Lonchura striata: one gene and its partners. The protein of the gene in region 1 binds, or shares a complex with, the protein of each later gene. Links are inferred from orthologs where the notes say so. Each region holds a gene or a part of one and is shown in the gene's direction. Other genes may lie near its edges. The genes, in order: SNRNP40, SNW1 and SNRPF.

What was found.
Region 2: SNRNP40 (region 1) and SNW1 share a complex: the UniProt entries of both Homo sapiens proteins name them as parts of the minor spliceosome. The link is inferred for Lonchura striata from reciprocal best matches to the Homo sapiens genes SNRNP40 and SNW1.
Region 3: SNRNP40 (region 1) and SNRPF share a complex: the UniProt entries of both Homo sapiens proteins name them as parts of the U4/U6-U5 tri-snRNP complex. The link is inferred for Lonchura striata from reciprocal best matches to the Homo sapiens genes SNRNP40 and SNRPF.

Annotation. Positions count from the first base shown.
Region 1 is NC_134628.1:6,742,427-6,746,172, forward strand, and holds the start of SNRNP40 (U5 small nuclear ribonucleoprotein 40 kDa protein), read left to right. Parts: upstream 1-982; 5' UTR 983-988; coding exon 989-1,204; intron 1,205-1,947; coding exon 1,948-2,077; intron 2,078-2,573; coding exon 2,574-2,667; intron 2,668-3,561; coding exon 3,562-3,727; intron 3,728-3,746. Other genes in the region: ZCCHC17 (zinc finger CCHC domain-containing protein 17), read right to left, coding at 404-445. UniProt on the Homo sapiens protein: Required for pre-mRNA splicing as component of the activated spliceosome. Component of the U5 small nuclear ribonucleoprotein (snRNP) complex and the U4/U6-U5 tri-snRNP complex, building blocks of the spliceosome.
Region 2 is NC_134608.1:21,876,563-21,880,308, forward strand, and holds the start of SNW1 (SNW domain-containing protein 1), read left to right. Parts: upstream 1-1,050; 5' UTR 1,051-1,122; coding exon 1,123-1,136; intron 1,137-2,140; coding exon 2,141-2,294; intron 2,295-3,746. UniProt on the Homo sapiens protein: Involved in pre-mRNA splicing as component of the spliceosome. As a component of the minor spliceosome, involved in the splicing of U12-type introns in pre-mRNAs.
Region 3 is NC_134607.1:54,491,476-54,494,913, forward strand, and holds SNRPF (small nuclear ribonucleoprotein F), read left to right. Parts: upstream 1-1,267; 5' UTR 1,268-1,395; coding exon 1,396-1,398; intron 1,399-1,563; coding exon 1,564-1,689; intron 1,690-2,088; coding exon 2,089-2,153; intron 2,154-2,728; coding exon 2,729-2,795; 3' UTR 2,796-2,846; downstream 2,847-3,438. UniProt on the Homo sapiens protein: Plays a role in pre-mRNA splicing as a core component of the spliceosomal U1, U2, U4 and U5 small nuclear ribonucleoproteins (snRNPs), the building blocks of the spliceosome.

The DNA of each region.
Region 1 (3,746 bases):
CCAGTCCCTCTCCAGCTCTCCTGGAGCCCCTCCAGGCCCTGCAGGGGCTCTGAGCTCTCCCTGGAGCTTCTCCTCTCCAGGGAGCACCCCCAGCTCTCCAGCCTGGCTCCAGAGGGGCTCCAGCCCTGCAGCAGCTCCGTGGATCCCTCTGGGCTCTCTCCAGCAGCTCCAGGTGCTGCTCCTGTTGGAATTCCGAGCTCTGAGGGTGGGGAACCCAGTGACAGAAGAGGTCGGAACTGCCTCTCCTCGGCTGCCCCCGCAGCTGCACATGAACAGCCCCCGGACACAGGTTGTGCACCTGGACAGAGCTGTGCATCCCCAGAGCTCCCCCGCGCTATCCCGACCGAACCCACGGAATGAATTCCCCCCGAGCTTGGCCCGGGCCGCGCCAGCCGTGCCGCACCTCGCCCTGGAAGATGGAGTAGAGCTCGGGAAGCGGCTCCATCGCCTCCCGAGGCGCCGTGACAGCCAGCTGGATTCACCCTCGCTACCGCATCTCCTCTGCAGGATGCTGAGGAAAGAAAAATTTCATTAACGCCCGAAAAGCCCCAGAGAGCACCCGGGGTTCAGCGCCTTGAGGGGCGCGGGGATTGGACCCGCAGTGCTGCGGTGAAGGACTGACCTGGACCGGCGCAGAGGGACAGGACGGCTCCTCCCGGAGCCCGCGGGGCGGTGGGGGCTCGTCAGCACCCGCGGCAGCAACACCAGCGCGCCGCCATCACCCCCTCACGCTGAGGGGCCACGCTCCTCGCCAATCACAGCGCGCAATGTTGCCGTGGGATGGTCCCGCAGCCAATCAGCGTTACCCATACCACCCAGCGACCGCTTTCCTCCAATCAGAGCGAAGCGCGCCAGAAGGCGCCGCGCTCCCCGCTCCATCCTCGGCGCAGCGTCGGGGGGTGGGACCTGCCCGGCGCTCCGCCAATCAGCGCGGCGGCCGCGGCAGCGACAGCCAATGGGGCGCGGGGGGCGGGGCGCGGCGGCCGCCATGATCGAGCAGCAGAAGCGGAAGGCGCCGGGCCCCGCGCCCGGGCCCGGTCCTGCCGCCCCCCCGGGCCCCACCGGCCCCGCCGCCGCCCCCGCGCCCGGCCCCGACCTCCCGCTCGTCCCCGCGCCCGCCAAGCGGCCCCGCCATGACCTGCCCGGGGCGCCGGGCACGGGCGGCGCGGGGGGACAGCCCGCGGCCGGAGCTCTGCTGCAGGCGGTAACGGGGGAACGTGAGGGGAGGGTGGGAGGAGATCGGGGTGGGACGGGAGGTGAGGGGACAGGAGAGGCCAGGCGTGGTTCCAGGAGCAGGGAAGGGCCACGAGCGTGGTGGGCTGGACACTGCTGAGGCACCTGTGTTAGGTTCTAGGCCCTCGGCTGGGGCCTGTCCGCGGAACGGAGCTGGGAAGGGAACTGAGCCCCAGGAGAGGCTGAGGGGGCTGGGAAGGGGCTGGAGAATCCCTGAGGGAGCTGGGAAGGGGCTCAGCCTGGAGAAAAGGAGGCTCAGGGGGACCTTGTGGCTCTGCACAGCTCCTGACAGGAGGGGACAGCCGGGGGGTCGGGCTCTGCTCCAGGAACAGGGACAGGAGGAGAGGGAACGGCCTCAGGCTGGGCCAGGGCAGGCTCAGGGTGGCAGCAGCAGGAATTTCCCCATGGAAAGGGTGACCCCCCCCTTTCCATGGGGAAATTCCTGCTGCTGCCCACCCTTGGCCTTGGAACTGCCCAGGGAGGTTTGGAGTGCCATCCCTGGAGGTGTCCAAGGAACGTCCTGGATGTGGCACTCAGAGCTCTGGGCTGGGGATAAGCTGGGGACCAGGTTGCCTCAATGACCTTGGAGCTCTTTTCCAGCCTCAGTAATGCTGGAATTCTGGTGGGATGTGCTGTGGGAAGGTGAAGATGCTCGGCAGGGGTGGCAGGCTGGCCTTGCCCCTTGTCCCCTCACGGTGTCTCGGTGTCCCCCAGGGCCCCCCGCGCTGTTCCTCGCTGCAGGCCCCCATCATGCTGCTGTCAGGACACGAGGGGGAGGTTTACTGCTGCAAGTTCCATCCCAATGGCAACACCCTGGCCTCAGCTGGCTTCGACAGGCTCATCTGTGAGTGGCACTGCTGTCCCCTGCTGTCCCCCGGGCTCAGGCCCTGTTGCTGGGGGGTTTTAGCTCAGCCCTCACCTGGCTGGGTTCTGGGTGTGAATTGCTCCCCCATGGGGGTGCAGGAAGCTTTTCCCAGCTGCTCTGGCAGGTGCCATCCTGATGGTGCTGGAAAAGTGCCTTGCTGGGTGCCAGCTGTGACCGCCCTGTGTCCCTGGCACACGGCTTCCAGAGGTCTGCAGAAATGCAGTTTTAATGCTTAGGCTTCCTGAGGCAAAAATTATAATTGTTCATAATAAACTCACCTTAACCAAGCTCCCTAAAGCTGCTCTGCCCTGGGGCTCACACGATGCTTTGTCACTGCTGTGAGTTGTCCCAGCTGGGACTCAGCAGTGGGGCTGGTCCATCCCCACTTTGCTGAATCCCCAAAGATCAGCTCCATGCACAGCAGGGGCTGTTCCCGAGCCTTTCCTGTGCTCACCTGTCCCTTGCTGTCCCCCAGTGCTCTGGAACGTCTACGGGGACTGTGACAACTTTGCCACCCTGAAGGGACACAGCGGGGCTGTCATGGAGCTGCACTACAACACGGATGGCAGGTGAGGGCAGGGGCTCTGTGCTGCTCAGGGACTCACTGCAGCTCAGGGAACAGGGCTGGAGCCCCAGGAGAGGCTGAGGGAGCTGAGAAGGGGCTGGAGCCCCAGGAGGGGCTGAGGGGGCTGGGAAGGGGCTGGAGAATCCCTGAGGGAGCTGGGAAGGGGCTCAGCCTGGAGAAGAGGAGGCTCAGGGGACCTTGTGGCTCTGCACAGCTCCTGCCAGGAGGGGACAGCCGGGGGGTCGGGCTCTGCTCCAGGAACAGGGACAGGAGGAGAGGGAACGGCCTCAGGCTGGGCCAGGGCAGGCTCAGGGTGGCAGCAGCAGGAATTTCCCCATGGAAAGGGGCTCAGGCCTTGGAACTGCCCAGGGGGTTTGGAGTGCCCATCCCTGAGGCGGCAGTCAGAGCTCTGGACTGGGGACAAGGTGGGGACCAGGCACAGCTTGGATTTTATGTTCTTGGAGCTCTTTTCCAACCTAAATGATTCTGGGGTTGTCACCTGTGCTCAGTCCATGGACACCAAGTCCTTGTAGTGTGGGCAAAGGATCTGGGGGCACCTGTGACCCCCCCCAGTGCCATTGATGCAGTTTTGGGGCACAGAGGGAAGTTTGTGTTGGGTGCCCGGGAGTCACTGGGGAGGGAGACAGAGCAAGTGAGATACTGGTTAATTTAAAAGGCTGTTCCACCATTGCTGCTGAGCTTTGCTGAGCTGTGCTCATCCTAGATGCTGCTTGAGGAGGCAGCAAAACCATTCACAGCAGGGATTAAGGGGAGTTTATCCATGCAGCTGTTCCAGTGTCAGTCAGTGTTTCAGGCGCCTCCAAAACACCAACAGGGGAGGTTGTTCCTGAAAGGAACTGGGAAGGGAGCTGGGCCCTCACAGTGGTTGTTCCTGCAGCATGCTCTTCTCAGCATCCACGGACAAAACCGTGGCTGTGTGGGACAGCGAGACGGGCGAGAGGGTCAAGAGGCTCAAGGGCCACACGTCCTTTGTCAACTCCTGCTACCCTGCCCGGAGGGGCCCCCAGCTCGTCTGCACGGGCAGCGACGATGGCACTGTCAAGGTCAGTGTGTGCCCTGGGC
Region 2 (3,746 bases), on another chromosome or scaffold:
CAAGTATCTGTCACTCATAGAGGTGCTGACAGAGCTGCTGTTACCACAGTGTTAAGCCAAAAGCTGATTCCCACTGGAGCTGATGAGTTCAGGCATAGAGAGACTGCACAGGATTGCCCTTACCTTCCTCCAAATCTTCCCAGTCCTAAAAGTTGTAGCAGATTAATTTATCCTGAAGGAGTAGTTCACCCTTCAGATTAGGAGATGATAGGGCAGACAAAATGACTAGAGGACTGCAAGACAGTTACTCTGTCTTATTGTATTCCTGCCTCCTATGGTGTGATTTTTAAAATCTCTGATAGACCATGTTTGTTTCTTTAGTCATTCTACCCTTTTCTTCCCTGTCTGGCTTCCATTTCTCTTCTAGATGAACCAACGCCTGGCTCAGTGGGACTCTTCTGCCTTTGATTCACTAGAGGTGATATAACAATAGCAACTTAATTAGTAATCTTCAGTTATATATAGTGCTATATATTGCCACTTTAACTCAAATAGTTTATAGCTTTACATAGGAAAACAGATTTTCCTATGTAAAGCTCCACTTAGTTCCCATGTATTACAACTCCCTGAGAAATATTGTTCCATATTCCAAATTTTAATTGTACTCTAAAGAGTGTATCTCTTGATTTGATTTAAAGAACTCCTATGTTATGTATGCTCATTTAACAAAGACAGCACAACTCCTTTTTAATGCAGAAATTCTTCTCTTTTCAATCAATATTTTTACACCACTTTCAGTCTCTTTTCTTTCCTTCACTCCCATGTCCCAGTTCAACGATTTCTAAGCAGCAGGTATATCAGAATAAATTTTATCCTGATCCACTTGCTCTATATTTTCTACTTTTTACTTGGACATATTCAGCTGGATGAACTGTGAAGTTACTGAACTTGGAGACTGTGTGAATAGTGCGGGGGAGCGGAATAGGACGGCTGAAGAAATAAACTGGGATACCGCAAAACTACACCTCCCAGGACGCCTTGCGGCCTACCGCATGCGCCACCGCGCCGCGAGTGGCCTCACGAAGACTACAACTCCCAGGGTACGCTGCGGGCACTGCGCATGTGCAGGTGTCGCTGTCTCCCCGCTCCTCGGCTGCCGGGCGGACGGCCTGCGCGGTCAAGATGGCGCTCACCAGGTGGGTCGGGCGGGCCCGCCCGGGCCGTGAGGGCGCTGCGGCTCCCCCGGCCGGGCCGGGGATTCGCCGCCGCGCTGCGGGGCTCCGCCGACGGGAGCGGCCGCGGCTAGGGAGTGCGCGGGGGGGCCGCAGCCTCTCCTGGGCAGGGGGCCCGCCGGCCGGGCCGCGGCCGCAGAGAGTGCGGCGAGGGCCGGTCGGGCCGGGGGAGCCCTGGGGGTTTGGCCGTGGTCAGGGCGCTGCTTCTTTCGCCTGTTCACTGCGGGTAGAAGGAGCTCCTCCGCTTCGGTTGGGTCCGTGGGGTTTTGTCGAGGTTTCTTCACCGTCGGAGAGGGCGAGCGGTCTTTGTTGCGATCTGTAGTGTCTCGCAGGGCATGGGAGTGCAGTTCCGGTGGCTGCACCGGAATCCCAAGTTTCTTTGGATACTTTCTTAGTAAATGCACAAAAGGGCTGTGTAGACAAGAAGAGATAAAAAAGGGGAAGTGAAGAAATTGGGGTTCGACTTGCCCTTGGCAGGGAGGTGTCAGGGGTAGAGGAGAGAGGTCTTTGTCAGATCTCTGTGGATGTTTGCCTTGAGAGAAAGGAAGAACGAATCACTGGGACTAGAGACACAGGAACATAATATTTCTTTCTTATTCCTAGTAGTGTAAAGAATACCGGTGATATGTGGGATTCCTGTTGGAAAATGGGCATTGCCACTCTTCTATTCAAGAAAGATGTGAATGCGTGTGAATTTAGCATTTGTTTTTGTAGGAATCTTTCAGAATGCTGAGAAAGCACACATTGCAACTGTAATCTCCGAAGTTACTGAATCTTAGAAGTTGCCCTCACATTTATGAGTGCAATGCTCAAGTTTCATAAATTGTTTCTTAATCTATAGAGTGCTTGTCGAGAAAGTATTAACTTAGCAAGAAGTTCAGTCAAGCATAGTTGAGTGCCTGTGAGTGAAGTTACCAGAATTAACTTTCTATGTAATTCTCTTTTGGTTGCTGTCCATGGGTGTCCAGTTTTTTGCCAGCTCCAACCCAGCTGTCCCAAGATCAGCTAGAACTAGAAGAAAGAGCAAGAGCTCAGAGATCCAGGCAGGCTGCTCTGGTCTCCTCGAGAAGGGAACCCCCCCCCTATGGTTACCGGAAAGGATGGATACCTCGTGCACTAGAGGTAAATATTTAAATTGATACAGTAGTAATGTGTCTGCTAAAAGGGAGAAAAAAATTCTGGAGTAGAAATAAGCTCTGAGCACCTTGAATGTTGCTGAGAATTGTGCAAAGCCTTACAATGTGCATTATCCATACTGCTTGATAAACCTTTGTGTTGGGAGAGGTTCTAATCTACTGGATTCCTTAAAGCATTTGATGGTAAACAGGATGGTCTATGTCTACTTCTGTTCAGAGATTGTTGTGTTGGAATGTAGAAATACATCTGTAGCCCTTTGGATTTACAGTCTGTGAACACAAGGTTTCCCTGAGAAAAACATCCATATTGTTTCTCTGTTAGTGTTAAATACACATTCTGGATTATAGCTGAAATAAGTGAATGTGTGTGTATCAGAGACAAGATGTTCTGTGTGTGTGTTCTGTTCAAAAAGATACCTGCTATTGGGGGACAAAATTATTACAGTTGGAAGGAAAATAAAAAAATAACCAAATATTTGTTGTTTAAGTATGTTATTGGCTAAAAGATTTTGGACAATGTTGTGTGTTAGTAGTTGTAACCCTTGCCAGTTTAATGTAATCTAAACTGGAACTGCTAAAGGTAGAATAAAAATACAGATGTATTCTGATTATAAAACAGTTTTAGTACAGTCTCTCACTGTGAGCCAGAAAAACCTTGCAGTTTGAAGTGATCCTTGACAATAACTTCTGAGACCTGTTCTGATGAGTCACAAGCCAATGCTCTTGGAACAAGCAAGCTGTTGAAGTTTTATTACAGTAGTTTATGTATGATCCTATGTTGTTTCCAAATACCATAATTTCATCAACTTGTAATAATGTTGCTCTCATTTATGTTTGAGTGCCATTTTTATAAATCCAACACTGTTCTGTGGTGGTCCATGTACTTCAAACAGTAGTTCCAGTGGTTCACGGAAAGAAAACGTTCTTCTGCAAGTTCAGCATTTCATCATATGCTGCATATGTATGATGTCAAAAATTATACTTCCATTATACCCAGTGAAGGTTTCCCTTCCTACACTGTTGAGTACTAAAGCTAGTATTTTAGTGCTTATTCTTTCTTAATGTTAATAAAGAAATATTTTAAGAAGCCAGATGCTGAAGGTTTGCAAAGACTTTCCAACACCACTTGGCCACAAATTAATGCACATCTCAAAAAGCCTGTTAAGGGCTCCTTTCCGCTTCATAAACAGGTGCAAATTGCAGTTAATGCTTTCAAAGCATAACCTTTGTCCAGTGCTCCTGGACTGCCATTGCTGTTCTTTTTACGTTAAGAGTTGCAGAAAGAAAAATTTAAAAAATTGAAGAATGACTGAATTTAGTTCTGGCTAATACTTTAACAACTAATTGTTGAATGTGGGACATCCAGTGGAAAACTTCCGATAGCGGAAACTGTTTAAAGGAGCATTTGCAGATGGGATAAGCACACTGTCCGTGTTTG
Region 3 (3,438 bases), on another chromosome or scaffold:
GTAAGTTAGTTATTCTTTCAGCTGGACCATAATGAGCCCTGCTACCAGAAAGAAAATTAGCATATTTTGGTCTTGTTTCTGCTGTCCATCCACTACACCCTAAAATAAAATCACACTTATTTCTAATGGTTGTGCAAATGTGCATCTAGATATAGTCACAAGAAGTTTCATCTCAACATGAGGAAGAATTTCTTCACGTTGGAAGTGGCAGAGCACTGGAAGATGCTGCCCAGGGAGGTTGCAGAGTTTCCCTTTCTGGAGAAATTCCAAACCCACTTGGACATGTTCCTATGTCAGCTGCTGCAGGTGACCCTGCTTTGGCAGGAGGGTTGACTGGATGGTCTTCAGAGGTCCCTTCCAGCCCTAACAATTCTGATTCTGTAACTGCACTTGTGATATATGCTAGTGAACAGGAACTACAATTGCATCCGTTTCACTCCTACACGTTCACGGTGTGTAAGGACAGTCTGGACCTGGAGAAGATGGCTTTTTGCATCAACAGCTTTAAATATGCAGATTTGAGGAGGCAAGAATGGTTTTGCTTTCAATACCAGGGCACTAGAGTCACTTCTGGAAGGTGAAGTGCACACAACCCACAATAGCTCTGTTACTGAAAGGTTAAGTTTCCTGAATGGTGTTTCCCACATTCAGCACCCAATAATACACTGAAGATCAAGGGGACATGCTGCATGCAGAACAGAAATGCACATTGTGGCATGTGATGAATTTATCCACCGGGCAGTAGAAGACATTAGTGAGGATGTGACCAATCGGTAAACGGTACAGGCGTTGGTGCAGCACACTTGCCTGTCAAAGGTTAAGACATAAGTCAGCACTGATGTGTCGCGACTCTCTCTACACCCAAGAACATCTTTGCCTGGGGGTAAAAAGCCACTGACGGGGAATTCGCACTTAATGTGCCCGCTGACCTCTGAGATTTCCTATCCTTGCGTGTGGAACCACTCCGCGGGTTTCTTTTCGCGGACGGATGGGCGCGGCCGCGCGCCGCCGCCTCACGGGACGGGACCGCGCGGGGCACCGCGGGCACGCGCACGGGCACAGCGCGCGGGGACGCGCACGGGGCGCGAGCTCACCCCCCGCGCCGCGCACGGCCGCGCCACCGCGGCGCGACTGGCGGCAACAGCGATTGGTTAGCACGGGGGGTGGGAGGGGGAAGTGGCAGCCAATGAGACAGGCCCGCGGCACCGGCGAGCCAATGGGCGGCCGCGCCTGAGGCTCGGCGCGTCGGGGCCCGGCAGCCTATGGGAGCGCGGCGCGGTGGGAGGCCGGGGGTGAGAGCGGCGCCCCCGGAACGGGAAGCGGAGCCGTTCCCAGCGCCGCCCCTTGTCCCGCGGCGCGCACGAGCGGTCCCGCCGGGCCCGCGCTTCTCCCGCCATGGTGAGCGGCAGCCGGGAGCGGCGGGAGCCGGGCCGGGCGGGCCGGGAGCCGGGAGGGGCGGGAGCCGGGCGCTGAGGGGCGGGAGCCGCTCCGTTACGGGCCCCAGGCGGCCGGGCGAGGCGGAGCGGGAGGCGGGCGGCGCTGACCGTGTGCTTCCCCCGCCAGAGCCTGCCCCTCAACCCCAAGCCGTTCCTGAACGGGCTGACGGGGAAACCGGTGATGGTGAAGCTGAAGTGGGGGATGGAGTACAAGGGCTACCTCGTCTCCGTGGACGGCTACATGAACATGCAGGTGAGGGGCCGGGGGCGTGCCGGGGCGGTGCCGGCCCCCGGCGTTGTGGAGGAAGAAATGGTGGGTGCCGCATCCCTGGGAGCGTGCAAGGCCAGGCTGGATGGGGCTCTGGGCAGCCTGGGGCAGTGGGAGGTGTGCTCTGGGCAGCCTGGGGCAGTGGGAGGTGTCTCTGCCCTGACGGGGCTCTCAAGGAGGTGATGCCTAAGGAAGGACCTTCCCCGCCGCAGGCGCTGCGTGCCGGGCCGGGGGCGGTGGGGACGCGGTGCAGAGCGGGACCGGGGCCGCTCGGCCACCCCCGGGAGCTGGGGCCGAGCCCTGGGCTGGGGCAGAGCCGTCGTGTGCTTTGCGGAGCCGCTTTTATTGCTGTCTTTCTGATTTTTTCCTCATTTTCCTTTCAAGCTTGCAAACACAGAGGAGTACATAGACGGTGCGTTGTCTGGACACCTGGGTGAAGTTTTGATAAGGTAATTGGGATATTTATTTATGGTGGAGGAAGGCTCTAAATTGCCTCACCACTTGCATTAAAGCTTATACTGGTGGATGTTGTGTTTCTTGTCTAATTAAGATGCCAAGTGTAGCTCTTATAGGAAGGCTATGAATGTGACTTCTATATCAAAGTCCCTTCTGAGAGGAGGAAAAATGATTTTTGCAATATCTAGATAAGTATTTACTGTCTCCTTTGTGGTAACAAAATACTTTTGTTTTCCACAGTATTATATATTTGGGAATCCTTTGGCATTGTAAACTAATGCACTGTAGCTGGAAACACTTTGCATGCTTGGAAGTTAAACTTGACTGTAACTGTTCACCCTAAAGTAAAAAATTTTTTGTACAGCATTGTCAAACATTTATTACATTCATGAAGTTGCACAGTTTGATGTACTGTGTGAAAAAGGTGTACAAGGACAACAGCAGCTTTTTGTTCTGTAGAATTTGGCTGTTGCCAGGCTACATTCAAGCAGAAAAATGTTTAAAGCTTGTTTTATGTGGGGAAAATGATAATGTTTATAGCTAAGGAAACTCTTTGTTCTATTTACAGGTGCAATAATGTTTTGTACATCAGAGGTGTGGAAGAAGAGGAAGAAGATGGAGAAATGAGAGAATAGGTGTTTTGTATTTCTGAAAATAAACCTTTCTTTTCTTTTTTGTTTTTCATACTTCTGTAGTAAGATGTTTATTTCTGTTGTGTTTTAGTATGGGGAAAATTAACTCTTTAAAAAATGTTAATATTTTATTGGTGTCTGAAAAACTAATGCTGGAGGAACAATAGGTAATTGGTTCAATTGAAAGTTGGAAATATTGAAATGAAAAGCAAGGACTTTAAAAATACCTTAAAAGTTATCTTCCCATCTGAAATACAGGAAGACTTGGCAGTATCTATACTTTACAGTATGTATGTCATGACTATTTAAATACGTTTCATCTTTAAACATGTTTATAAAACATTTAGAATTAGCTGGGAAGATTTCACTGCAAGTGAGGTGTGGCGATCTGTTATACCCCAGTTTCCCTCAGAAATATTCTCCTGCTTTGAGTCAGGAAGCTTGAAGTGTGGCTGTATGGTCATTAAGAAAGGACAAATGTATATCTACTTAGCAGCCAACAGCCACACAGCCAAAAGCCTCCTGGCAGCTGCAGGGATCCACAGACTTCAGTGGCATTAATGGGGTTGAGGCAAGAGACTGCAGAAGGGAGTGTGCTTTGTGAGTCTCTGCTGAAGAATGGAAAGGATACTGTGGTCCTCCTGAG